Linked DNA regions of Alligator mississippiensis. The protein of the gene in region 1 purifies or fractionates together with the protein of each later gene. This does not show direct contact. Links are inferred from orthologs where the notes say so. Each region holds a gene or a part of one and is shown on either strand. Other genes may lie near its edges. The genes, in order: SRPK3, EBNA1BP2 and FTSJ3.

Region 1 (7,655 bases):
ATGACCCTCCCCCTCTTCAGCCTCCATCCCCAGCCTAGAGTTCACTTCGCCCACCACCCAGGCCCCCATAGCCCCACCCATTCTCTAGGCTCCACCCCCAGCCCTGCTCACCGGATATCCCAGCAGAGCCAGACGGTGGAGAAGTGGCCCCAGCCCAGCTTGCGCACCACATGGTAGCGACCATGGAACAGGTCCCCTATCTGCACCGGGTAGTACCCGCCTGGGGGGCATGGGGTGGGGGGGGATGACTGACACCCCTCCCCAGCTGAGTAGTAGTACAATCTGGGCTGTATTCCACACCCCCCCCTAACTGCCAGCCACTGCATGTGGCTGCATCCACCTGTCCTGTGCCATGCCCCCCTTCATCCTCATAGTACAGCACCCTCCAAACCCTCCACCCCAATTCCTATGCTATAACCCCCCCACTGCTTGAAGTGGCACAGCCCAGTCTACCCCATAGGAATATTGGTATCTCCCGTCTTTCTCTGCTCTCTACAGCCCAGTTATATGAGAGACCCTGGTCTTCTCTTATAAAAAAAATTGCATATTCTCTGACAAAAACCCCAAAATCCATTACCGTAATCCCCCAAAGCCCCCTGCAGCACCCCCCCCAGCCCTGCTGGTGCTCCTCACTGCCCCCAAAGCCCCCCAATACTACCAGTGCCCCTCACTTCCCCCACAACAGCCCCCCCACCTTACTCGTGCTTCTTGCCCCGCCAGCCCTGCGGGAGGGGCCCACAAATGCCAGGGCTATGAGGCCAGGGAACCAAGTCTGCAGCTCCCTGCCCCCAACAGCAGGCAGCTGCAGCAAAAGCAGCATGGAGCCAGCTCTCCCACTGCTCTGCCTGCTTGGGTGTGGGCGGGCCTGGCTCCTGGCTCCCTCCAGCCCCGCCAGGGCCCCCAGCCATGACCTGCAACCCCCTCCCCACCCCTGTCCTGCCAGAGGGGCCCCCAATCCCTTGCAAGACCCACTTACCACACAGGCTCTAGAAAAGTGAGACTGAACTGAGCAGAGCAGAGCCCTGGCAGGCTGAGCGCCTCAGGCCCCGCCCTTCCCCCTCCCCCTCTGGGCAGGGCTGGGGGTTTCCCACCCTGTTTGCAAACAGCTTTTGCAGGCTGGAGCTCAGCCAGTCTGCAGAGCTGTTCGCAAAAGCAGGGAATCCACCAGTTCCTCTGCTAAAAGGAGAAATCCATATTTTCTCTGATGAAAAGAGGAAATCTGTGGTTTTCTCCATTTTTCTGTGGGAAATGGAAAACCCAGATCCCTGTACTCCACCCATCCCCCACACAATCACAGTGGAACATCCCAATACCCCAATTTTCCCCCTCCCACAACCATAGTGGTACCTCCCAGCCCCCCTGCCACATTCCCCCATGGTACAGCACACTTGGTGCCAACTCTCCCCCCTCCCCCACACACACACACTGTTATCTCCCAGCTTTTCCTCTCCCTTATAAACATGGTACAGCCCACCCCATATCCTCACCATCACAGTGGTTCCTCCCTGCCCCATATTTCTCCTCCCAACTGGGCACTTCCCACCTCAGGCCCCCTCTGGGCACAGTGATACCCCCCCCCACCCCTCCACCTCTGCAGTAGTCTGCGGGGTCCTCCTGTTCCTCATCATCTGAGCCCAGAGGCCCTGCCCCCACCAGGCATGGGAGGGGTGGGGCCCAGGGTGGAGTGGTGCCACGCGGCTTCGGTGCTGGCTCCTGTGTGCTGGGGAGGAGGGAAGGGGTGAGAGACCAGACTCTAACATGGGCACCCAGGGGTGGGGAGCAGAGCTAGATATAACAGGGACCCATATGCACTGAGTATCAGGGAGGGGTCTGTCCATGCAGCTGAGTCTGGGGGGCCAGCGCAACCAAGTATAATAGAGACCTGGATGCTGCTGAGTCTGGGGTGTGACTGGACTGGATATAACAGGGACCTTTCAGTGAAGTTGAGTCTCGAGCTTGTCTAGGTGAGTATAACAGGGGTTTCTCAATGCAGCCGAGTCTGAGCATTGCTGTATACAACAGGGACCAGGATGCAGTGGAGTCTGTAGGGGGCCACAGCTGGGCTTAACAGGGGTCTCTCCATGCAGCTGATCATGGGGGTATGGCCAACTATATAACAGGGAGACCTGGAGGCAGTTGTCTGGCATGGGGGACATGGGTGGGTATAATAGGAGTCTCTTGACCCAGATAAGACTGAGCAGACCAGGGTATAACAAGGACCCCTCGCTACAGCTGTGTGGGGTCAGGAACAACTGGGTATAACAGGGATCTCTCAATGCAGCTGAATCTGGGGGACACAGCCAAATAGAACACAGAACCCCAGCATGGAGTTGAGTCTGGGGTAGGTCGGGTATAATGGGGGTCTTCCGCCCACCACACCTGGGCAGAAGCAGAGTCGCAGTGCATGCTGAGATGCCCACATCCCGATATAGCCATCACCTCACCCCCCACCTGCGTCAGGGGTTAAAAATAACCCTGGGCTGGGGCAGCTGCTGCAGAAGGCAGCTCAGGAATGTGTGTGAGGGGGAGGGGACCCAGGAACCCCTCAAAAGCTGAAGGGGCTACCCCCCCACACCGGGCTAGAAGGGGGTACAGGGGTCCCCCTGTTATATGCAACCTCTCCCCCACTCCCGAGCCAGCTGCCTTTCCCCATTGTGCCCCTCACTCCTGACCTGCAGCCCCCCGCCCCACTCACCCTGGGAGCGCTGCCCCCTTTGCCCCTTTTTCCTTCTTGTGCCGCTTCTTCCCCTTCTTGCCCTGGGCACTGCCTGCACCTGGGGGGGGCAGGGGCAGGTTTGGGGGGGGGTGTCCCAAGCTGGGGAGACCCCCCTGCCCCACCTTCTGCTTCCCTCTCCCCCGCGCTTACCCTTCTTGCTGCTCATGGTACCCCCCCCAACGTTCTGCTGGGGCCGTCCGGAGAGTCTGCGCATGCGCTGCCCCCACCATGGGGAGGGAAACAGCGAAGACCGGCCCGGGATAGGCGGGGAGGAGGGGTACTGAAACGAGGGCGGGGTTAGGGGTGATGGGCATGGCGAACGCGGGCTGGCGGGGCTAGTCCCTCATAAAACACCTCCGCCCAAGTTTCGGGTGGAGGGAGAGAGGAGGAAACAGCCCTCCCCATATTACGCGTGGGAACCCCCATAATCAAGGGCAATCTCCCCTTCAGCCCCGCCCCCCACTTCCATGATACCCCCCACCTTTCCCTAATGGACGAGTCGCAGCCGCTGGGTCCAATCAGGAGTATTCTTTATTCTACGTCATATAACTCGCCCCCATCCCAGGCTGGGGGGGCTCGGCTCGCCGCCCCAGGTTAGTGTGGGTTAGACACCCCCGAGGGGGAGGGGCTGCCCGGTAACATCAGGCACTAGGGGCGGGCTCATAGGTCCGTGACCTTGTTGTCCAGCAGCGCGGCCGCCTGCTGCAGCCGCGCCCCGAGCTGCTGCTTCTGCCCCGCCGGCTCCGCCTCCAGCGCTGCCACCAGCTGTGGAGGGACAGAGGCAGGGATCAGGGCCCCGCTCTCCTCCCGGAGACCCCAGGCACCCGGGCTCCCACCCCCCTGCTCCACCGCTCCAAGGAACCCAGGCGTCCGGGCTCTCCCTTTTCCTGCCGCAGAGCCCAAGCTTCCAGGACTCCTAGTTTGAATGGAGAACCCAACAGTCCAGGCCCCGGGCTCCCAAACTCCCTCCTGGAACCCAGGCACCCGGGTACCTGGTCGTGGCACAGGCGCACGTACTCGTACAGCTCTAGCAGCGCCCCCGAGCAGTCCAGATCCACCGACAGCTGCAATGTGGGAGGAAGGAATGGAGCTCAGACGTTCGGGAGTCGCCCACAACACCCCCCCCCCCCAGACCCCTCCCTTGGCAGACAGAGAACCCAGGCATCCGTGCTGTGCTGGGTGGGGGGCGCTTTGGGGCAGAAGCCCCAGCTAGGGTCAGAGGGTGCCTGGGAGGTTGGTGGCCCCCAGGGACCAATGGCAGGGTAGGGAGATGCCAGGGGGTTTGAGGGTTCCAGGGGTGGGGGTATTTTGGGGAGGGTGTGGGGAGGAAGGGTGTTGAGAGAACCCAAGGAGCAGTAATACAGGGTTTAGGAGGATGCTGGGGCATCCATACTTGAGACATTTTGGTCAGTGCTGCGTTCATCTCCTGGTACGTGACTGGTGGAGCCTGGCGAACCTCGGCATAGTACCTGGTGGGGATGGCGTAAGAGAACCCAGGTGTCTGGGCTCCCAGCCCCCCTTCCCACAGAAAGCCCTGGCTCCAGTCTCCCCTCCCAAACTCCCTGCTCTTTTACAGCTGGGGTGGAACCCAGGCAATCCTGGCCCTCAGGCCCCCCACCACACTCAGGCATCTTCACAGGGGACCCAGGTCTCTGGGGGCACTCACCTGTCCACGAGCTCTCGATACCGTGGAATCTCACGGGCATAGAGCAGCTTGTTCACAGGGGAGTCCTGGGAGGGGGAGGGTGTAAAGGGGGGAAGGATACCTGGGTGACTGGGAGGCATGTCCCAGACGTCCGGGTTTCTCCTATATGACAGAGATCAGGTCTGGACACCTAGGGCCCTGTTGTGGGGTGGGGGGCGCTGTGGGGCAGGAGCCAGGGCCAGACAGTAGGGGAGGGAATTGGAGGCATGTCCTGGATGCCTGGGTCCCTCCTTTGTGGCAGGGGTCAGTCTCGGATGTCTGGGCCCCTTTGGGGGAGGAGGGGGGTGTCACATCCTGGACACCTGGGTCCCTGAGTGGGGTGGGGCAAATAGTGGGGATGGAAGTGGCCGCAATCGCCGGGATCTGGTGGAGAGGTTGGAAGCATCCCGGACACCTGGCTTCCTTTGGAAGGACCAGGTCCTGAATGCCTGGGTCGCTGTGGAGATTGGCCCTGGATTCCTGGGCCTCTTGGACAGGCTGGAAGCACCACTGGGTCCTTGGGCGGGTTGGGGAGGGAGGGTGGCCCCAGACGCCTGGGTCCTCACCCGTCCCACTTGGTGCTGGGCGGGAGCAGCGCAGGCATCCATAAGCGTCTGGGCCACGACCCCGAGACTCGCATCGACGCTTGGCGGGACACGCACGTCCAGCAGCATCCGTGGGTCACGTACGACCCGCACCCAGAACCGCAGCAGCAGACTGCAGGGGGTAAGGTCAGAGCAGGCCACACCCTCTGAACAGCCCCCAGTAGGCTGCTGGGTGGCCGGGAGTCAAGAGGGGGCATAGCCACAAGTAGCAAGAGCCTATGTCAGGCTGGAGGGGCAGGGATGGGGTGGGGCCATGGCCAGGCCCCACCCCACATGCGGACCCCTGCTGCCTGTAACAGGGTCAGAGGCAGGGAAGGGGTCAGGAGTGTAGTCAGACCCCACCCCTTGTGACCCTGCCCCTGTGTGCTCCCCACCAGTCCCAGCTTCTGGATCCCCTCCCCTTGCCCCCACCTCATTTCCCAGCTGCCTAGGCTGTAGAGTGTGGCCACCCCCCATTCTCCCACCTTCCCACTTCTGCCCCCTGGGGTCCCCCCATACCTCCTGCCTGCCCCCCCCCCATCTTCCAGGCTCTCCACATTTACCTCCTCAGGACAGAGTCCCCATGTCCCTAAAAGCTCTCCACTCCCCCACTTCTAGCCCCCCCCATGTTCTCCCACATGCTTCAGAGCGTGGCCAGACCCACACATGACCTACTACCTATTTTGCCCCCACAAGCCTCCCCCATGCCATCTCCTCCAGATCTACCCCCGGGTCCCAAAGTGCGCCCCCTGCCCCAGTTCTGCTCTGCTCAGGGCCCCCATGCCCCCTGAAGCCCCCTCCCCACATGCTCTCCAGGGTCTGGAGACCAGGACCTTCCATACCCTCCTGCTCCCCCAGTTCTGCACCCTCAAAACCAGCCATGACCCCTAATACCCCCTCAACATGCTCTTTCAGGCTCTGGGGAGTGACCAGGACCTGCCCCATACCCTCTCACCCACTCCCAGTTCTGCCTTTCTAGGATCCCCCATTCCCACTGATACTCCCCACTCCTGCCCTCCTCAGAGCCCCCATGCCCCAGCAAGATCTGCCCCATGCATCCCCCAGATCCATCCCACCCACCTGTTGTTCTTCCAGCTGCGCAGGGTGTCAGGCTCAGCCAGGCCATGCCGTGCTGCCAGCTCATCCAGCAGGTCAAAGAGGAACTTGACAGGCAGGGGTGGGGGGCACCCAACTGGCAGGATAACCCGCAGTGCCCCCTCCACAAATGGGTGAAGCATGCCCTGTGGGTGGGGGCAGTCAGCACCTCTCTGCCTCCTGAAACAACCCTCCTTCCCGCCATGGATCCCATTCTGTGGAGGGCAGCAGCGTGCAGGGAGAGAACCAAGGTGCCTGGCTCCCAGCCCCCAGAAAATGCAGGTGTCCAGGCTCCCAGCACCCTCCCAGAGAATCCAGGCTCCCAGCTCACCTGGCAGCCCCAATTCCCCTCCCAGAGAACCTAGGCACCTGGGATCCTTTCCCCTCACCCAGGCCCCATCCAGAGAACCTAGGCATCTGAGACCCTGTTCTCTGATCCAGCCCCTGCCTAGAGAGCACAGGTACCTGAGCTCCCAGCCCCCCTTGCTCACTCTCCAGGCCCACTCTCCTCACAGAGAACCCAAGAGCAGGAGGATGAGCTAGACCTTAGGGGTAGCTGTGGTAGGCTCTGGGGTGCAGGGGGTCCCCTGAGGATCCCCCACTTTAGTAGAGAGCCCACAACTAAGATTTAGGGTGGCTATGGTGGGTTTTGGGATACAGGGGAATCTGGGGAGCCCTGGGGGGGAGAGGAGCAGTTTGGGGGGGGGGGCCCTCATCTTGGAGAAGAGCAGACTTGGTGTAGATCTTGGGAGTGGTTATGGTGGGATTTGGGGTGCAGCAGAAGTCTGGGGGTTAGAGAGTTGGTTTATGGGTGTGGGGTTGTTAGAGGAGTGCAAGGGAATTTGGGAGGTTGCTGGGGGGGTGAAGGGCTGATTTTGGGATGTGGGGGTTTGGGGGCTCTTAGGGGATGCAAGGCGGGTCTGAGGGTTCTGGGAGGTGGAGGGGTGGTTGGAGATACAGGGGTCCCCTAGGGTGTCCCTAACCTTGCAAGAGGGCAGATTGATGAAGCAGATCTTTGAGGGGACATGGCAGGTTTTGAGGTGAAGTGGGGGTCTGGAAGTTCCTGAGGGGTTGAAGCTTCATTTTGGCTGCAAGGGGAGTCTAGAGGTTCCTGGGAGGGTAGAGGAGTTTTGTGGGGGTGCTAAGTCCCCATGGGGGAGGGATCCCTCACCTTGGTAGAGAGTAGGCGGGTGAGGTAGATCTCAGGGATAGCCGTGGCCCCCTCCCGTTCCCGACTCCCATGTCGTGCCACCTGCCCAGGCCCCTCCAGCTCCTCTGGGGGCTTCTCTAGGTGCCAGAGGTGGATACCCCCCTCCTCACCATCTTCCAGTGTCGGTGCATCTGGGGGGGAGAGGGGCCTGAGCAACACCCCAGACTTCCCTCCCCTGGGAACTCCCTTGACTCAGTCCAGGCCCCCCCCCCCGCGCAACATCCCATTGGTTCAATCCTGAAAATCCCCCACTTCTCCCCATTAGTTCAGTCTAGAACTTCTCCCCACATTCCATTGGTTCATTCCTGGATCTCCTGAACATTCCCATTGATTCAGTCCAAGACCTCTTCCCCCCACAGCTCCCTA
Region 2 (7,740 bases), on another chromosome or scaffold:
TCAGGAGAAGCTTTGTCAGGTGTTTGACTCAAGGTGGGACTTGTGAAGTTTGATGCCTGAGCCAGAGTCACATCTAGCCTTTCCACCCACTCGAGGTGCCGCATGAATTCAGACAGGCACTGCTTCAAGCCATCCTGGAAAAGAGAACAAGGTTCTGTTAACAGCAAGACACAAAACAGACACCTCCTTCCTCAGATAGCAAATCTAAATGCTTTTGTCATATGTGGCCCTGCCTTCTGAGGACGTGGCTCAGCCCCTCAGTGCATAATGTTGGCTGCTTCCTCAGGTGATGAGCATCGAGACAGACAAAGAGAGTCTTGTTAAACTTAGATTAAGAAAGCAGGAAAACTACAACAAGAGAGACATAATCAGAGGGGCCAGATTTAGGTTGAAATTTGAACGGGCATATTGTTTTAATAAACTAAGCTCAAGAGAGGTTGCTGTTAAACTGAAGAGTCCAGATACAGGTTGAGAACCCAGCAGAGAAACAGAGACAGGAACCAAATACAGTTCACATGTGATTTAACTGAGGGACAGGGTGATTGTTTTTGACATGTGAGAAAAGAAAGAGCAAGGAAGGAATCTAATAACATCAAGGCAACTTTAGATTGATGAAAGAAGTTAACGCGCAACATGCCCAATACTGTTTTGGGGAACTCAGATATTACCTTTCTAATATTATAAAAGCCCAAGTCTGTCCGTCTGTCTGTCCATAACGCTTTGTTTGCGCTCTGATTAGCTGTTTCTGTCAGCCAATCAGAGTGCTCCAAATGTGGGGGAGGCCACCTGATTCCAAAGCTGCGCCAAGGACCGGACAGAGGGTGGGGGAGCCAGGGCCAGCAGTGCTGGCCTTGGCTCCCCATCCCACTTCCTGCATGAGGCAGAACAGCAGCAGCATGGGCGTTAGGTGGCATGCCAGCCCCCACCCCCATCATTCTTGATGGGCAATTGGCTAGTTAAGAATATAATGGCCATAAAAAGGCAAGCACATGATTCTGTGACAGCTGTGGAAAGCACAAGGGGGAACTGAGGCAGGACTGTATACCAAGTAGCCAGCAACTCTTTTCAACTGATCTGATAAAATAGACTAAGTTTGTCTTGCAACTCTTGTTTCTCTCACCTTCTGAGTGTACATTTTGGAGCAGAGTGGCTCCACTGGCATCTGCCTTTTTCTATTTCTTCCCTTGGTAGCATCTGCTGATCACCTGGGGGTGTATGGGTGTGGTCCCACAGGAAAGGCTGGGTTGCAGGCAGTGGCCCCAGTGACACAAGGTTTCCAACCCCTGATTTAGCTTGTTGTGGAGTTTCTCTTCTGGTAAGATACTAGAAACTAAGTGCAGACAGTGTGTGCGCGCCACACTGATTTAGCACATCCCACAGGCTTCCTCCAGAAAGCATTCTAGCACATCTTACACTGGTGCGAATGAGAGCAGTGCTTCCTAGGCAACTGTATTATGGAGTAACAACATTCACACAGTAATTAGGATGGGCTCCTAATGAAAGCTCATCATCCAATATTCAGTCCCCAGCTAAACAATAACAAGTGTCACATAACAACTTAAAATCAGCAGGTTAGTCCTATGGCAACAATAAAACATTTTCTGCAAAATCTGAAACAAACCCGGTACTCTGCAGACCAGAGCCAAGCTGTGGGACTTAACCTCTTAACATCTAATCCAATCCAGAAAACAGAACCTCTACAGAACCTGTTATAAGCAGAGCTCTAACAATTTGCAAAGGTCCTCGCAGGCCATGAAATACTGAAAGCAGATCTCACCGCTCTACACAAGCAGCTAAAGTCAATGAGCACCTCCGCGCAACGCCAGTGAACACAGTCGATTCACAGCTCAATTTCAGACTAACACAGCTAATCACGTCCATTTGCAGGAGAAGAGGGCTATGGGGCCAGCAGCACCACCTCTACCACAAACACCAGCCTTTGTCACTACACAGCTCTGCAGTGGCTCCCAGAAACATCTCTGAGGCTCCTAATGAACTAAACCTTAAGGGCTTCTCATTTACAATCTCTGACTCCTTTGTGTAACCACAGGCAAGAGCCCAACCTCCCCAGGCAAACGCCTCACACCAAGAGCTGCAAGGCATGGTACTCACCACGTTGTTCAGGGCCTTCTTTTTCCCTTCAAGCACAAGGTTCAGCCCAGGTTTCAGGGCACCCCTGGAAAATGCTTCCTGGAGCTGTAGGGAAGAAGAGTGGTCAGGTCCCCCAGCATCTTAAAAGGAAGGTGGGCTGTGTCCCTTGCCTAGGGTCTGACAATCTGGACAGACCAAAGGACCCTTCAGTCAGCAGTGCTGAGTCCACTCATCCATACAAGTCCACGCCTCTCCGAGCGGGGTGCCAGAGCAAAGACAAGACGTGGGGAGGCCACACACCACACTAACAGCCGAGGCAAAAACACCAGGTGCTAGCGTATTGCAAGCTGCAACGCGGCATGCTCGGTCCCTCTGTCCAGGGCCACACCACAGGCCCCAGCTGAGAACGACTAGGGCACGAGCGAGTCGTGGTGTCCCAGAGCGTTACCACCACTCTTGACTTCCTAGTCTCTGGGGTACTCAGCCTGGGGAACCCCTTGCCCACTTCCTTTCTGGGGCGGCAGGGAGCAATCCTGCACGCACTGCTCAGCACGAGGCGCTTACCTCTCTGTCGGTGACGAGGGATTCCTCCGACTCCGATCCGGACTGATCCTCGAAGTCTGCCATGGCCCTGGGGAGAAGACACGGGGGACGTGCTCTGGCTCGCTCCGCTTCTCACAGCAAGCCCACCCTGGCCCCAGGGGCGGGGCGGGGGAGAGGCCGACAAACTGCCCTCCTGGCCCGAAGACCGAGGCGGGTCCGCGAGGAGCTGGAGCACCGCGCGCAGAGGGTGTGCAGGGCCCCCCCGCGGGGAAGAGCCGCCAAGGCCGCAGCGGCTTCCCCGGGGCGCAAGGCTCGAACACGACGGGAACCCCGGAGTTTAGGCCGCCGCCGCGCTCACCTCGTGCCGCCGCCGCCACTTCCGGCCTGACCCCGCGCGCTGTTTCCCTTCCGGGTCACGCTGCAACCGCGCTTCCGTTGCCCCGTCTCCATGACGACCGGCGCGGCGCGGCAGAGGCCGGGGCTGGCCGGGCGCGATGTCGGCGATCGTGGCGCAGCCGCTGCACGTGTTCGGGCTGCGGCCCGGCGTGGCGAGCAACGTCTGCTTCTTCGACGAGCAGATCATCATCTACCCCGCGGGCAGCGGCTGCGTGCAGTACCACGTGGAGCAGCACTGGCAGAAGCTCATCCCCGGTACCAGCCCGCCCCGCCCCGCCCCGCCCCGGCCGGCAGGGAGGCACGCGGCGCTCGCCGCCGGGCCGTGGCGCAGAGCCGGGCCTGCCGGGGCCGCCCGGGCGGAGCACGCGGTACACGCCGGGAGGCTGCTCCGGGCTGCAGGGACCGCGGCTGAGTCTGCGGCAGCCGCTGACTACCGCCCCCCCCGCCCCCGGTCTGACGCTGTCGGCGGCTCTGAGGGAAGCGCCCCCCGCCAGCCCGGGGCGGGGCGGCTGTGGCTGGCCCAGCCCCGACCCCGACCCCGGCCCCGGCCCGGGCCTGCGATGGGCGGAGGGCGTTGCGTGCGCCGCCGAGCGGGCTGGCCGGGCCCCGGCGCGGGTGCCCGTCTCGGCGGCGGCCTGGGCGCGGCCCTCCCTCGCGGCGGGTTCCCGCGGGGGGCGGGGCTTGCGCTGCAGGACGTGCGTGTTCGAGAAGGGTCGTGACCCCGGGACGTCTGGCTGCCGGGGGGGCAGGGGAAACGCCTCGGAGGCTGGTGGCAGAGGGTCTCGGTCACAAGAGACCTCTGCTTTTCTTTTTACGATTCTCTGCCCCCCGACCTGTTTCGGGCTTTTAACAGTCGCTCTCGTTCCCTTTCTGCTTTCTAGGGTCTGAAAAAAGTCAGGGGATGTTGGCACTGGCCATAAGTCCAAACCGGCGCTACCTGGCCATCTCTGAGATGGTACAAGAGAAGCCTACTATCACTATCTATGAATTGTCATCTGTCCCATGCAAAAAGCGGAAAGTATTGAATTCATTTGATTTCCCTGTTGAGCAATTTCTCAGCCTGGCATTTTCTCCTGATTCTAAGTATCTAGTTGCTCAGACAGGACCCCCTGAATCCAACCTTGCCTACTGGATGTGGGAGAAGCAGAGACTGATGGCAATTGTCAGAGCTGACACCCAGAACAACCCCGTGTACCAGGTAGGGTGCAGGGGAGGCCGGGGCGGAGACAAATCGCTCTGAGAGAACACCTGTTGCAATCAAGCATGATCTTGTAACGGAAACTCCCTTCCCAAGACGTGGGAGGAGAGCAACAATATTTTCCAGAAAAGGATGCATACTAAGATAATTTCCCTGCGGTAATTGAAGCGAGGCAGCATTTTCTCTCCTGAAAGAAATGCTAACATTAAAAAAAATAAGAAAAGCATTAACATTTATTTGAAAGGCAAAGATATTTGGGTGGGGGTTTTTTACTGGCCCAAGTACATGGTCGAGAGAGGTTTTTTTTAGACAGGCTTCCTCATCACTTTGTTTCAAAGCTTGTCTAAAATGCATGAGCATTTACACACACACACACACACACACACACAGGAGAGAGAGACTTGCTGCTTTAAAATTGCTGATTTCTCAAATCTGAAAACAATTATGAGCAAAATTGATTAGGAAAAAATATAAGCATTAAAAAAGGGATAAGTGGGAAACTGACTTCTTCCACTGCAGATTCATTCATACACCTGGTGTATTATATCACATTTTGGGCACTATACTTCAAGAAAGATGTAAATAAATAGGGAAGAGTCCAGAGGAGAGTAACAAAAATGATTAGAGGTATAGAAAACATGATTTACAAGACAAGTTTGGAAGAACAGGAATTATTTATTTCTGGAAAGGGAAAACAGAAGAGAGATTTGATAGCAATCTTCACAAAGGGTTGTTGTAGAAAGGATGATGATCAGTTGCTGTCTAGGACCACTGGGGGCAAAATTCCAATATAATAAAAGGCTCTGTCTCTCTGTCCATAATGTGTTTAGCCAACTGTGCATGCGCTGCCAAGAGGGCAAGCAGCAATTGGCTGCATGGCCTGGGCTGTGCAGGCCTGTTTGCGCTGCTGCTGCAGAAGTCTGGCAGCAGGGAACAGCTTCCCCCCACCCTCCCTGCCTGCGGGTGAAAGAGGGGATCACAGCGGTGCCCACCCCCCCTGCTGCCCAGTCTGGATGCCCCCCAGAACAGCCAGCAGGGACGAGGCGGCAGTGGGGAGGCAGGTTGCTGCAGGCCAGGCGGACCTGGAGCGGCAGGGGGAGGAAATAGGGGTGGGGTAGGACCCCAAGTGGGAGGGGGGAAGGGGGGAGCGAGGACCTCTGGCTGGTCCTCGGCGCATCTTCAGAATCGTGGCGGTGCTCCCCCACGCTTGGAGCACCCTGTTTGGCTGTTTCTGTCAGCCAATCAGAGCACAAAAAAAGCCTTACAGACAGACAGGCAGACAGACAGACTTAGGTTTTTATAATATGAGAATTGCCCTAAAGTCTCTGACATTTTTTTGTCATTCTTGATTTTTATAAGATAATAAAGTTTTTAGGATAGAGATCATGCATTTTTGCTTGTTTGTAAAGTATTGGTATAAGCATAGTTACTGAAAAGTAATTCCTCTCCCTCCTGCTTTCCAGGTGAGCTTCAATCCCCAAGATAACACTCAGATTTGTATCACTGGGAATGGCATTTTTAAACTTTTCAGATATATAGAAGGAGCCTTGAAACAGACTAACTTTCAAAGGGGAGAGCCACAAAACTACTTGTCCCATGCCTGGCTCTCTGAGGAAAGGGTTATAGTTGGCAGTGATATGGGCAAACTCTTTCTTTTTGAATCTGGAGATCTGCGCTGGGAGACAAATATCGAGTGTAAAAAATCTCCCAGTGAAATCGAAAAGGATGAGCTGCCCAAAGACTCTGAGAGGTATGTTTTTGTGATAATTACTGACAGGGTCCAGCCCATGAGTAAAGATCTTTTGCAGCAGGAAGTGATCTATATAGATGTTAACTGGAAAAACCTTTAGCATCAGTGCTTGCCTTCACTGCCCTGCTGGTAATTATGTGCTTCTCTGGTTGCTGCTGAACTATAATTTTCTTTCTTTTTTTTTTCCTAGTCTCCTTGAATTTGTTACTGGCAGTTCCCCAGATCTTGCCAATGAAATGGTCCTTGAAGGTGATGTCCCACAGCAGGTTTCACTGCCTCGTATCTCTGCCATTGCAGTTTATTCCAAAGGCTTTGCATGCTCAGCTGGGTCAGGAGTTGTTCTGCTGTTTGAGAAGATTGAAGATAAAGAAGGTTATAGGGAGATCCGAGAAATACGGGTAGGTAAGAAACTGAGGTTACAGGTCTTAAACAGGCCACAGCTGTTCCATCTGTAAGCTCCTTTGTTTCACGTGTGTTCCACATAAAAGCTCAGCAGGTCTTCCAGCCACTCTACAAATGTCACCTAATCATAGTTCTGTTGAAAGCCTGGCCAGCATTTACATAGGGGGAAGTGACTAGTCCAAAGTGGCATGCAGTGTCAGTGATGGTCATTCTCTTTCAAGGTAACTTCTCTATGTTTCCCTTTGTGCAACTGGCACCCATGGCACTGCTGAAATTCAGACACCTTTTAAGAAATCTGTCTTGGCTCAATGTCTAGTTGGCAGCTGTATCAAGTGGAGTGCCCCAGGGGTCAGTCCTAGGGCTGGTTTTGTTCCATGTCTTCATCAACAACCTGGAAGATGGAATAGAGTGCACCCTCAGCAAGTTTGCAGATGACACCAAGCTGGGGGGAGTAGTAGATACGCTGAAGGGTAGGGCTAGGTTTCAGAGTGACCTAGACAAATTGGAGGATTGGGCCAAAAGAAATCTCATGAGGTTCAACAAGGACAAATACAAAGTCCTGCACTTAGGACAGAACAATCATAGGCACCGGTACAGGCTGGGGACTGACTGGCTGGGCAGCAGCTCTGTAGAAAAGGACCTGGGGGTTACAGTGGACAGTAAACTGAATATGACCCAGCAGTGTGCCCTCGTTGCCAAGAAGGCTAACATCATCCTGGGTTGCATTGGTAGATATGTTGCCAGCAGGGCCCGGGAAGTGATTATTCCCTTCTATTCAGCAGTGGTGAGGCCATATCTGGGGTACTGTGTTCATTTTTGGGCACCCCACTACAAAAAGGATGTGGACAAATTGAAGAGAGTCCAGTGGAGGGCAACAAAAATGGTGAGGAGGTTGAGCGACATGACTTATGAAGAAAGACTGAGGGAACTGGGCTTATTTAAGTTAGAGAAGAGAGGACTGAGGGGGGATTTAATAGGAGCCTTCAACTACCTGAAGGGGGTTTGAAAGAGGATAGAGCTGGATTGTTTTCAGTGGTGTCAGATGATAGAACAAAGAGCAATAGTATAAAGTTACAGCAAGGGAGGTTTAGGTTAGATATTAGGAAGAATTTTCTCACTAGGAGGGTAGTAAAGCACTGGAACAGGCTACCCAGAGAGGTGGTGGAAGCTCCATCCTTGGAGGTTTTTAAAACCAGGCTAGACAAAGCCTTGGCTGGGATGATGTAGTTGGGGCTGGTCCTGCTTTGAGCAGGGGGTTGGACTAGATGTGACCTCCCAAGGTCTCTTCCAACCTTAACTTTCTGTGAGTCTATAGTTGGAACTGCATGGATTCCTACAGTTGAGGATAAGAGGAAGGTGC
Region 3 (7,166 bases), on another chromosome or scaffold:
GCCCCTGCTTCCCCCCCCCAAGCCAGTACACAGGCTCCCCCACATCACTCACCGATAATGAGGCTGGAAACTGGCATAAATTTGGAGGCCACTTGCAGCCTGTGGAGAGCAGAAAGGGTCAGAAAGCCTCACTTGGTACCATAACCTGCTGCATGAAGGCTCTTCTCACCCTCCATCTCAAAGAAGATGAGCTGCATGTAATTAACTTCAGCACCCAGCACACACCCTGTGACCCCCACCCAGGAGGGCCTGTCTGAGCACACACCTCTCAGAAAAGGAAATGGAGCTACATTCCCAGTGGCTAAGAAGGGCATAAGGCCCAGAGGGGCTCCCAAGTGTCACCCTTCACTGGCTGGCATAGGACAAACTGAATGTCCATGACAGAGAACAGATCCCAGCAGGGAACCGCTGTTCACTGCAAGGTGATGCCACTCCAAACCATACTACTTTGGCTGAAGACAAGTTGTTCCAGAGGGGCTGCACATGTGCAGAGCCACAGGGAGACAAGGCCTCCACCTTTGGGAACACTGTGCGAACAGGCATTACTGCAGAGTGCACAGGGGCCACCTGGACCAGTGCCTCCCAGTACAGGCTAGGATTCCAAAAAGCCCACAGCTTGCCAGCGACTAACTGCTCTTGGAGCTGACCTCTCCAAGCAGCTTGCTGAGGCACCCTGGGCATGACATCTCCAGCTCCCTTGTAGTCTGAGCCAGAGGCAGTACTGAGCTAAGACTTGCCAGGGAAGTCCCCTAACTGTAGGCTACAACCCATGTCCATCGGTACTTTGAACCTGCCAGCAGGCTGCAAACGCACAAAGCTGTTTGCAAGTCAGGGGAATGGACAAGGCTTGTTCCTGCCTAGAGAACAATGAGCCACTCAATTTCTGCTCATGACTTGGTTGCCCAGATTCTCAGGCAGTCAGGGCTGCAAATCAACCTGAGCACAGATAGTTTGGACCAAGAACCATGTGGGCCAGGCTCTGGGTTTTTCCAGGACCCTGATCAGCCTGGGGCTTGGATGTGAGCAAGCTGGCTGTAGTTCCCACCAGCTAGCCAGGACACTCCTGTATCTCACAATCCAGTGGCAAACAGGGGGGCCCTCTCACTCACCATCCCCCAGGGGCTGCACACAAGTCCACCAGTGCCCGGGCTTTCTGCAGGAACTGGAACTTCCGGTTGAGCTGAATCAGCTTGAAAGAGGATCGGGAGCGAAACCCTAAAGGAAGAAAGGGTGGGGGGGGGAAAAAAAAAAAAAAAATCAGAGCCCTCCCAAGAGCCTGGGATATCCCAATCAGACACTCTGCAGCAACAAGGGGTAGGAGAGGTCAATCAGTGCCCATTGCTTACTCTGAAGCAGCCACCGCACTGCAGGCACAAGGAGTACAAAAAGATGGCCAACATGGAAGTAACAGTGACTTGGGCAGGCAGGCAGGGGGCCATGGCCTGACCTGGCCTGCCACCAAGGAAACGCAGAGGTCCTGGTGGGCAGTCATGCCAAGGGAGATCCACCAGCACAACTCCACAGACAGACAGGGCCAGCTTCCTATCCCCACTCACCAGTTTCCTTTGCCAGATGGTAGAACTTGTCCCGTCGGCTCTTCCCAACTTTGCCTTTCTTGCCCATGTTGGTGGGTGAATGAGTTTGTGCCGGGGCTCACCTCAGGGATACAGGGTGATCCCTGTGACCAGTGCCAGGAAGCAATGGAAATGTCTTCTGCAGAGAAAGGAAAGGCAGCAGCTGAAGACAGGTAAAATAGCCCCATATTGACTTTGAGTGCCCCAAAGACCTCAGAAGCAGGACAATCACTGCAACACCTCATCTGTGCTGGGGGGAAGGGAGCACAGGCCTGAACTACATATTAGAGAGGGAATAATCACATCACTCTACCCACAGCCCCACATCCTGCCCCTGAAGCTAAACTTACCCCCAACCACACCATGAGAAACCTTCAGGTGCACTGAATCTTATAGCAGGACTACAGAATACCATCATACCACTCATTAACAGGATACACACAGGTCTCTTTCACGTTTTACCACCAACTCCAAGGGAAACCCCATGCAGAGTCTGCCAGTCCCCTATGGCACTAGCAGCTGAAGACAGCTGGCACCACATCATCCCAGCTGCTAAAGTAAAAAAAACCTCCAACCCCACTTGGTGCTTCTTTCATTTGCCATCTGCTGCCTGTATTGCAGTCATTAGACAGAAGGAACCTCTCATTAAACTAAAGGCCCCCTCAAAAATTGCCATCTCTCAGTGTTCACTTTTTTTTTTTTTTTTTTTACTACAGAGAAATACTGGAACAATTATTCTGTTGCAAAGAACTGGGAACATCTTCAATGGAAAAGAATGGTTTTAACTCATGGGTTCCTGCTTAAAATGCCTGGGTTTACCCTGCAAATCACATTTATGCATCTAATAGTGCTAACCTTGCCACCCAGGGCAACCATGAAAGGACCTCAAGGCCACAGCCCCTATCCAAACACCCCAGACAGTCAGAACTAGATGCCGACTGGCCAGAACAGAAAGGAAAGCAAGCCGAGCTCAGAGCAGCAGAGCAAACCTCAGGACAGAGCCAACCGGGCCTGCTGGAGCCGGAGGATGTGGGCATGGCATCTCTAGCACTAAACCTTTCCCTTATGAACGCCTCTCCTTACCCCTATACTTATAATCTGCCCCAGCCCCCAGCTGCTCCCCGGCCACGCCCTGCCCCTCAACTCTTCCCCCACACCCCAAGGAGAGACATGGCAGGGGAGCTGCCAGACAACCTCAAAGGCGGGGAGGCGGCTTCACTCCCCGCTTCCTCCCGGATTCTCCTCTTGCATCAGGACCACCGACCCCAGCTAGGTCAGTCCACCCAACCGCACCATACCCCAGGCGGGCAGGCCTCAAGGCAGCGGGGCTGGGGCAGTCCAGACCCTGCAGGAGACTGGGAAGTTCAGAGCCCGACTGACCAGTCCCAATCGCACTCACCAGCACCCAGACAGCAGCCCCAGCTCCCACGTGCGCGCCCTGCGCTTCCGCCGGCAGGCCGGCGATCAGATGCACTTCCGCTTCCGGTACAAACTTCTCCCTCCGTCAGCTTGAGAGTGGCGCCCAGCCGCTGCCCGGCTTCGACCTCGCGCGGGGAAGTCGGAGTGGGAGCACACCCTGTGTGCAGAAAGCGGGCTGAGGTTCTCAGTGGGAGACTGCCTTTCCGTCTAGGCCTTACAGCAGACCCTACCAAGGTGGCGGCTGACAAGGAACGGCGGGCACAGGACGAGCGATCAACAACAAAGCTGTCCCACCGCGCATGTGCGCCCGGAGAACGCATCACTCAGTGTTTTCTTTCAGGCGCCCGCCCACTCGCGGACAGGAAGTGGCGTAAGCGGATGTTTCGCCCTTTGCGCGTGCGCACCGCGGCAAGGGAAGTGAGGACCGTGGCCATTTCTGGTGTGGGCAACCGCTCGGGCCTTCATTGCCGCTCCAGTGAGCTGCTTCAATGCCGGCCGAGAAGATGGCGGTGGACGGGCCTGAGCAGGTGAGGCCGCGCAGGGCCGAGCCGCACCGCAACACGGCGGGGGCTGCCGCGTCCTGCCCCCGAGGCCGGGGAGGAGCGGGCGGCTGCGGGGCCGGGCCGGGCGGTGCTGAGTCAGGGCGGTCGGTGCGAGGGGCAGCACCGCGCGGCCCCCGCCCCGTGCCAGGCCCGCGGGGCTCCCGGGAAGACGTCCCGCTTTTAGCGCTCGGGCCCCGACAGCCGGCACGTTTGTAGCGCGCTCGGGCCCGACAAGCGTGTTACACTCGCGGAGCGCTCGGCGCGGCCCCGGCCTGCAGACGGGACAGTCACGGCGCACGCGCGGGCCTGACAGACGTGACATTCGTGGCACAATTCAGGCCCCCCCCCACCCCCCGTAGGACCCGGCCCTGCCTTCCCTTCCCGGTCAGTGGGGCCGAGCAGCCACACGTCCTCCCAGGGCAGCAGTGCTCAACCCCGTCACCTCCCCACCCAGATGCACATGCCCCATCCAGTGTGCGGGGCCAGCTTGCCCGCGGGTCTGTGAATTTGGCGGCTGGGGAGCTGCATTTAACACTGCCAGCGCCACCACCACGCAGTGGGGAGCCCAGCGGGCCGCGTGGCGTGACTCTGTGGGCCAGGGGTTGCACAGCCCTGATGTATGGCAGTGATTGTCAGCCGGGTGCTGCGCCACCCTGGGGGGCCTTGGGCTCCGGTCGGGGTGCAACGAGGCACTGTTAGGTGTGTGAAGAGAATTGACAAGATAAACCCAAAGATTTCCCATAGGAAACCGTGTCCTCCCATTTGCGCTCTTTCTGAGCTCTTTCCCAGTAGAAAAATTGCTCAGTTGTTTGCCTGTTACCAAAAATGGGTGAAAAGCAAGCTGGTGTTTTCCCAGGGGTGCCTGGAGTCTAACAAGGTTGAGAACCACTGATCTAGGGTGCACTGTGGCATATGACACCTTCAAGCCTGCTTTGTTCAGCACTATATTTTAACCGTGGGACATGTCCCTGCGAGGGCGTGTAGCCCCTTTGTGGCAGCAAACTCCATCCCCTTGGCACTGAGACTGTCAATTGCCCCCGCCAGGAAATGGGGCCCTGGCAGCCTGCTCCAGCTGTCACTCTGTGGAGCCCTGAAGCTCCCTTTCCCCAAGCCCCTAATGCTCCCTTCGTCCTGCTTTTCCCATTTTCCTCATCTTCCACCTTCCTCCAAACCCCTTCCCAGTTCGATGCCAGGCCTGGGGGCTACTTTTCCTGCCTTGCTTTCCCCCTGTGCTGCTGTGCCAGGGACAAAACAGTCCCCTGGGGGAGGTAGAGAGCACCCTGGCATTAGCGGGCTCTGCTCTCTCCCCTGTCCCATGGACATGCTGGCAGGGCCATTGGGTCCTCACTTGGACATAGGTGGGGTGTCCTGTTTGAAAGGGGGCACCTGGGCATACATGGAGCAGAGGAACAGTTGGGGGAGGGTTTCGGAGACTGTATCTGTCCCATGGGTGTGTTACTGTGTGGTGGGACCTGCCACCTCCAGGCACAGCTCTTTTTGGAACAAACCTCTCCACTTCCTGCTGTGAGTCTGGCCTTTTTCTGTCAGGCTGTTTGAGGTGCTTTCCTGGGCTGACATGCATGTTCTGTCATGTTTTCCTGGCAGATGGAGATGGATGAAGGCAAAGGAGGGACAGGCCTCCGCCAGTACTACCTGTCGAAGATCGAGGAGCTGCAGGTGAGCTGCAGGGGTCATGTTTTCACTAGTTCGTGTTTTCTGCAGCAGGGACCCTGCTGTCCCTCTGCTCTTTTTGTATAGCACTTCCAACTAGCCCAGCTCCTGCCCCTTTCCCCCCCTGCCAATGGGGCTGGAGGCTCAGGACCACTCCTATCCTATCCTGGCAGCAGGCAGCCTCAGCACCTCAGCAGGCAGCACCAGGAGCGCCTCCCTGGGGGAGGAGTTTCCACTTGGCAATAACCCTTTGAAGTGAGCTGACCTGCTGTCCAGGAAGGTAGTCTAGTTCAGTGCAAAGCAGTGCTACCTCAGGCTGGTGGGGAGGGTAGTGAGTGGCCAAATCCAAGGGCCTTAGCCAAGTGCCCATGAATTGTTTGGCAGAGGTGTCCCTGCCCCAGTGATGTGACCTACCAAAACCTCCAAAGCCAGTGGCTTGCACATGAAGGGCTGTGGCCTGCAAGTTAGGGCGAGTCCTTCCCAGCTGTTGTGCCAGGCTGGTTTCCAGGACAAGGCTCTGGCAAGAGCTGGGCAGAGAGTGCAAGAGCCGTTGTGCTGGACCTGAGGAGCCTCCCCTTGAGAAGGACCTAGGGTGGGTAAAAATCAATGTTTCCATTGTTCTTCTAGATCCTGGTGCACACCCCTTATATACTTACAGGTTGCTGCCAAGTTCCCCCTGAGCCTTCTTTCTCCAGGCTGTAGAGTCCCATGTCCCTCCGCCTCTCTTTGTAAGGCTTGCTGTCTTGGCCTTTGATCATGAGAGAACATCCTTGTTAACAGCAGTATATAGAAATGAGAGGAAACAGACCTGATTACCTACCCATGTCCCTATTGTTTCTCTGCAAGTTTGTGTATACAGAACCAAGCCCTTACCTCTCCCTAAAAGTGCAAATTTTCAAGTAGTAAAATGAATAGACGATTGTTGGGGGTGGAGTAGATCTGGGCAAGGAGGAGGAGTCTAGAAATGAATGCAAGGAGAAAGGGGCAATAGAAACAAAAGAGAAACATTTTGAGCAGAATATTCCAGAAGTCTTGAGGAGTAAGTTTCGGAGTATAGCTTCTCCACTGATTTGAGATCTATTGAGGTAATGGTATGGTAGCAGGGAAGACCTATCGTGACAGCAAGCTTGTCAGGCTGTAAAAGAGAAGGAATCAAAGATGAGAAGAAATCTCGAAGAAAGTGAAGAAAGCCCCAAGCTAATAACATGGCTGCAGCCCTCATTTGATGTCTTCCTAATACAGCGTGGCAAAAATATCCCCCAAATATCCATGATCTAGTGAATTGGAGATTAGTTCACCTCCCAATGACTTCACAGGCATTTGCTTCAATTAGCTTTGAAATCATAATTCAGTTTTCTGAAAAAATGTCAAAATAATTCACTGCTTTAACATTTATAGTGTGTACCTTCTAAAAATGAAACCTACATCTGTCTCTGAGTTGTAATATGTATTAAGCCTACATCAAACAAGAAGGCACTTTTTGTAGAAAATAATTAAAACAAGGCTTCCTGCTCAGTGATTTAAATCAATTTGATTTAAATCAAATCCACCCTGAGAAGGACCCCTTTAACTTGCTCTTCCTGTGGGGGAGCTATTTGTGTCCAGACTGGTCACACACAGGCTCCTGCTGGCAGCTTCAATGGAGGTATCGGTATCATCTGAGCTGCTGCGCTCTAGTGGAGGCACCTGAGCAGGGCTGACTCTTTTGGGCTGGTAAAGGCTTATACCTTGTCCTTCCTCTCCAAAGCTGATTGTGAATGAGAAGAGCCAGAATCTCCGCCGTCTGCAAGCGCAAAGGAATGAGCTGAATGCCAAAGGTATGGGTTTCTTTGACTTTCCCTTTCCAGATACTGGGGAACTGCCTCCCACCAGGCTCTCTGCATTGTCTCCCACTTGATAATATTGAAAGTGAAATCCCTGGTGAACTGAGACCCAACACAGAGTTTTGTTGCATTGTGGG

Evidence for each region.
Region 2: the proteins of SRPK3 (region 1) and EBNA1BP2 purify together in Homo sapiens (affinity purification with mass spectrometry; 3 studies listed by BioGRID and IntAct, with this or other methods). This does not show direct contact. The link is inferred for Alligator mississippiensis from reciprocal best matches to the Homo sapiens genes SRPK3 and EBNA1BP2.
Region 3: the proteins of SRPK3 (region 1) and FTSJ3 purify together in Homo sapiens (affinity purification with mass spectrometry; 3 studies listed by BioGRID and IntAct, with this or other methods). This does not show direct contact. The link is inferred for Alligator mississippiensis from reciprocal best matches to the Homo sapiens genes SRPK3 and FTSJ3.

Annotation. Positions count from the first base shown.
Region 1 is NC_081831.1:28,600,329-28,607,983, reverse strand, and holds the start of SRPK3 (SRSF protein kinase 3), read right to left. Parts: upstream 3,081-7,655; 5' UTR 3,031-3,080; coding exon 2,867-3,030; intron 2,775-2,866; coding exon 2,696-2,774; intron 1,721-2,695; coding exon of another isoform or gene 1,714-1,720; coding exon 1,590-1,713; intron 221-1,589; coding exon 112-220; intron 1-111. Other genes in the region: PLXNB3 (plexin-B3), read right to left, coding at 3,377-3,481, 3,709-3,780, 4,110-4,185, 4,383-4,447, 4,967-5,117, 6,065-6,225, 7,251-7,420. UniProt on the Homo sapiens protein: Serine/arginine-rich protein-specific kinase which specifically phosphorylates its substrates at serine residues located in regions rich in arginine/serine dipeptides, known as RS domains.
Region 2 is NC_081828.1:241,454-249,193, forward strand, and holds the start of EBNA1BP2 (probable rRNA-processing protein EBP2), read right to left. Parts: upstream 3,085-7,740; coding exon 2,993-3,084; intron 2,723-2,992; coding exon 2,656-2,722; intron 2,197-2,655; coding exon 2,113-2,196; intron 135-2,112; coding exon 1-134. Other genes in the region: CFAP57 (cilia- and flagella-associated protein 57), read left to right, coding at 3,083-3,398, 3,912-4,228, 5,692-5,978, 6,169-6,376. UniProt on the Homo sapiens protein: Required for the processing of the 27S pre-rRNA.
Region 3 is NC_081827.1:170,095,959-170,103,124, forward strand, and holds the start of FTSJ3 (pre-rRNA 2'-O-ribose RNA methyltransferase FTSJ3), read right to left. Parts: upstream 3,063-7,166; 5' UTR 2,974-3,062; intron 1,714-2,973; 5' UTR 1,624-1,713; coding exon 1,557-1,623; intron 1,216-1,556; coding exon 1,110-1,215; intron 100-1,109; coding exon 53-99; intron 1-52. Other genes in the region: PSMC5 (26S proteasome regulatory subunit 8), read left to right, coding at 3,482-3,520, 5,141-5,212, 6,954-7,023.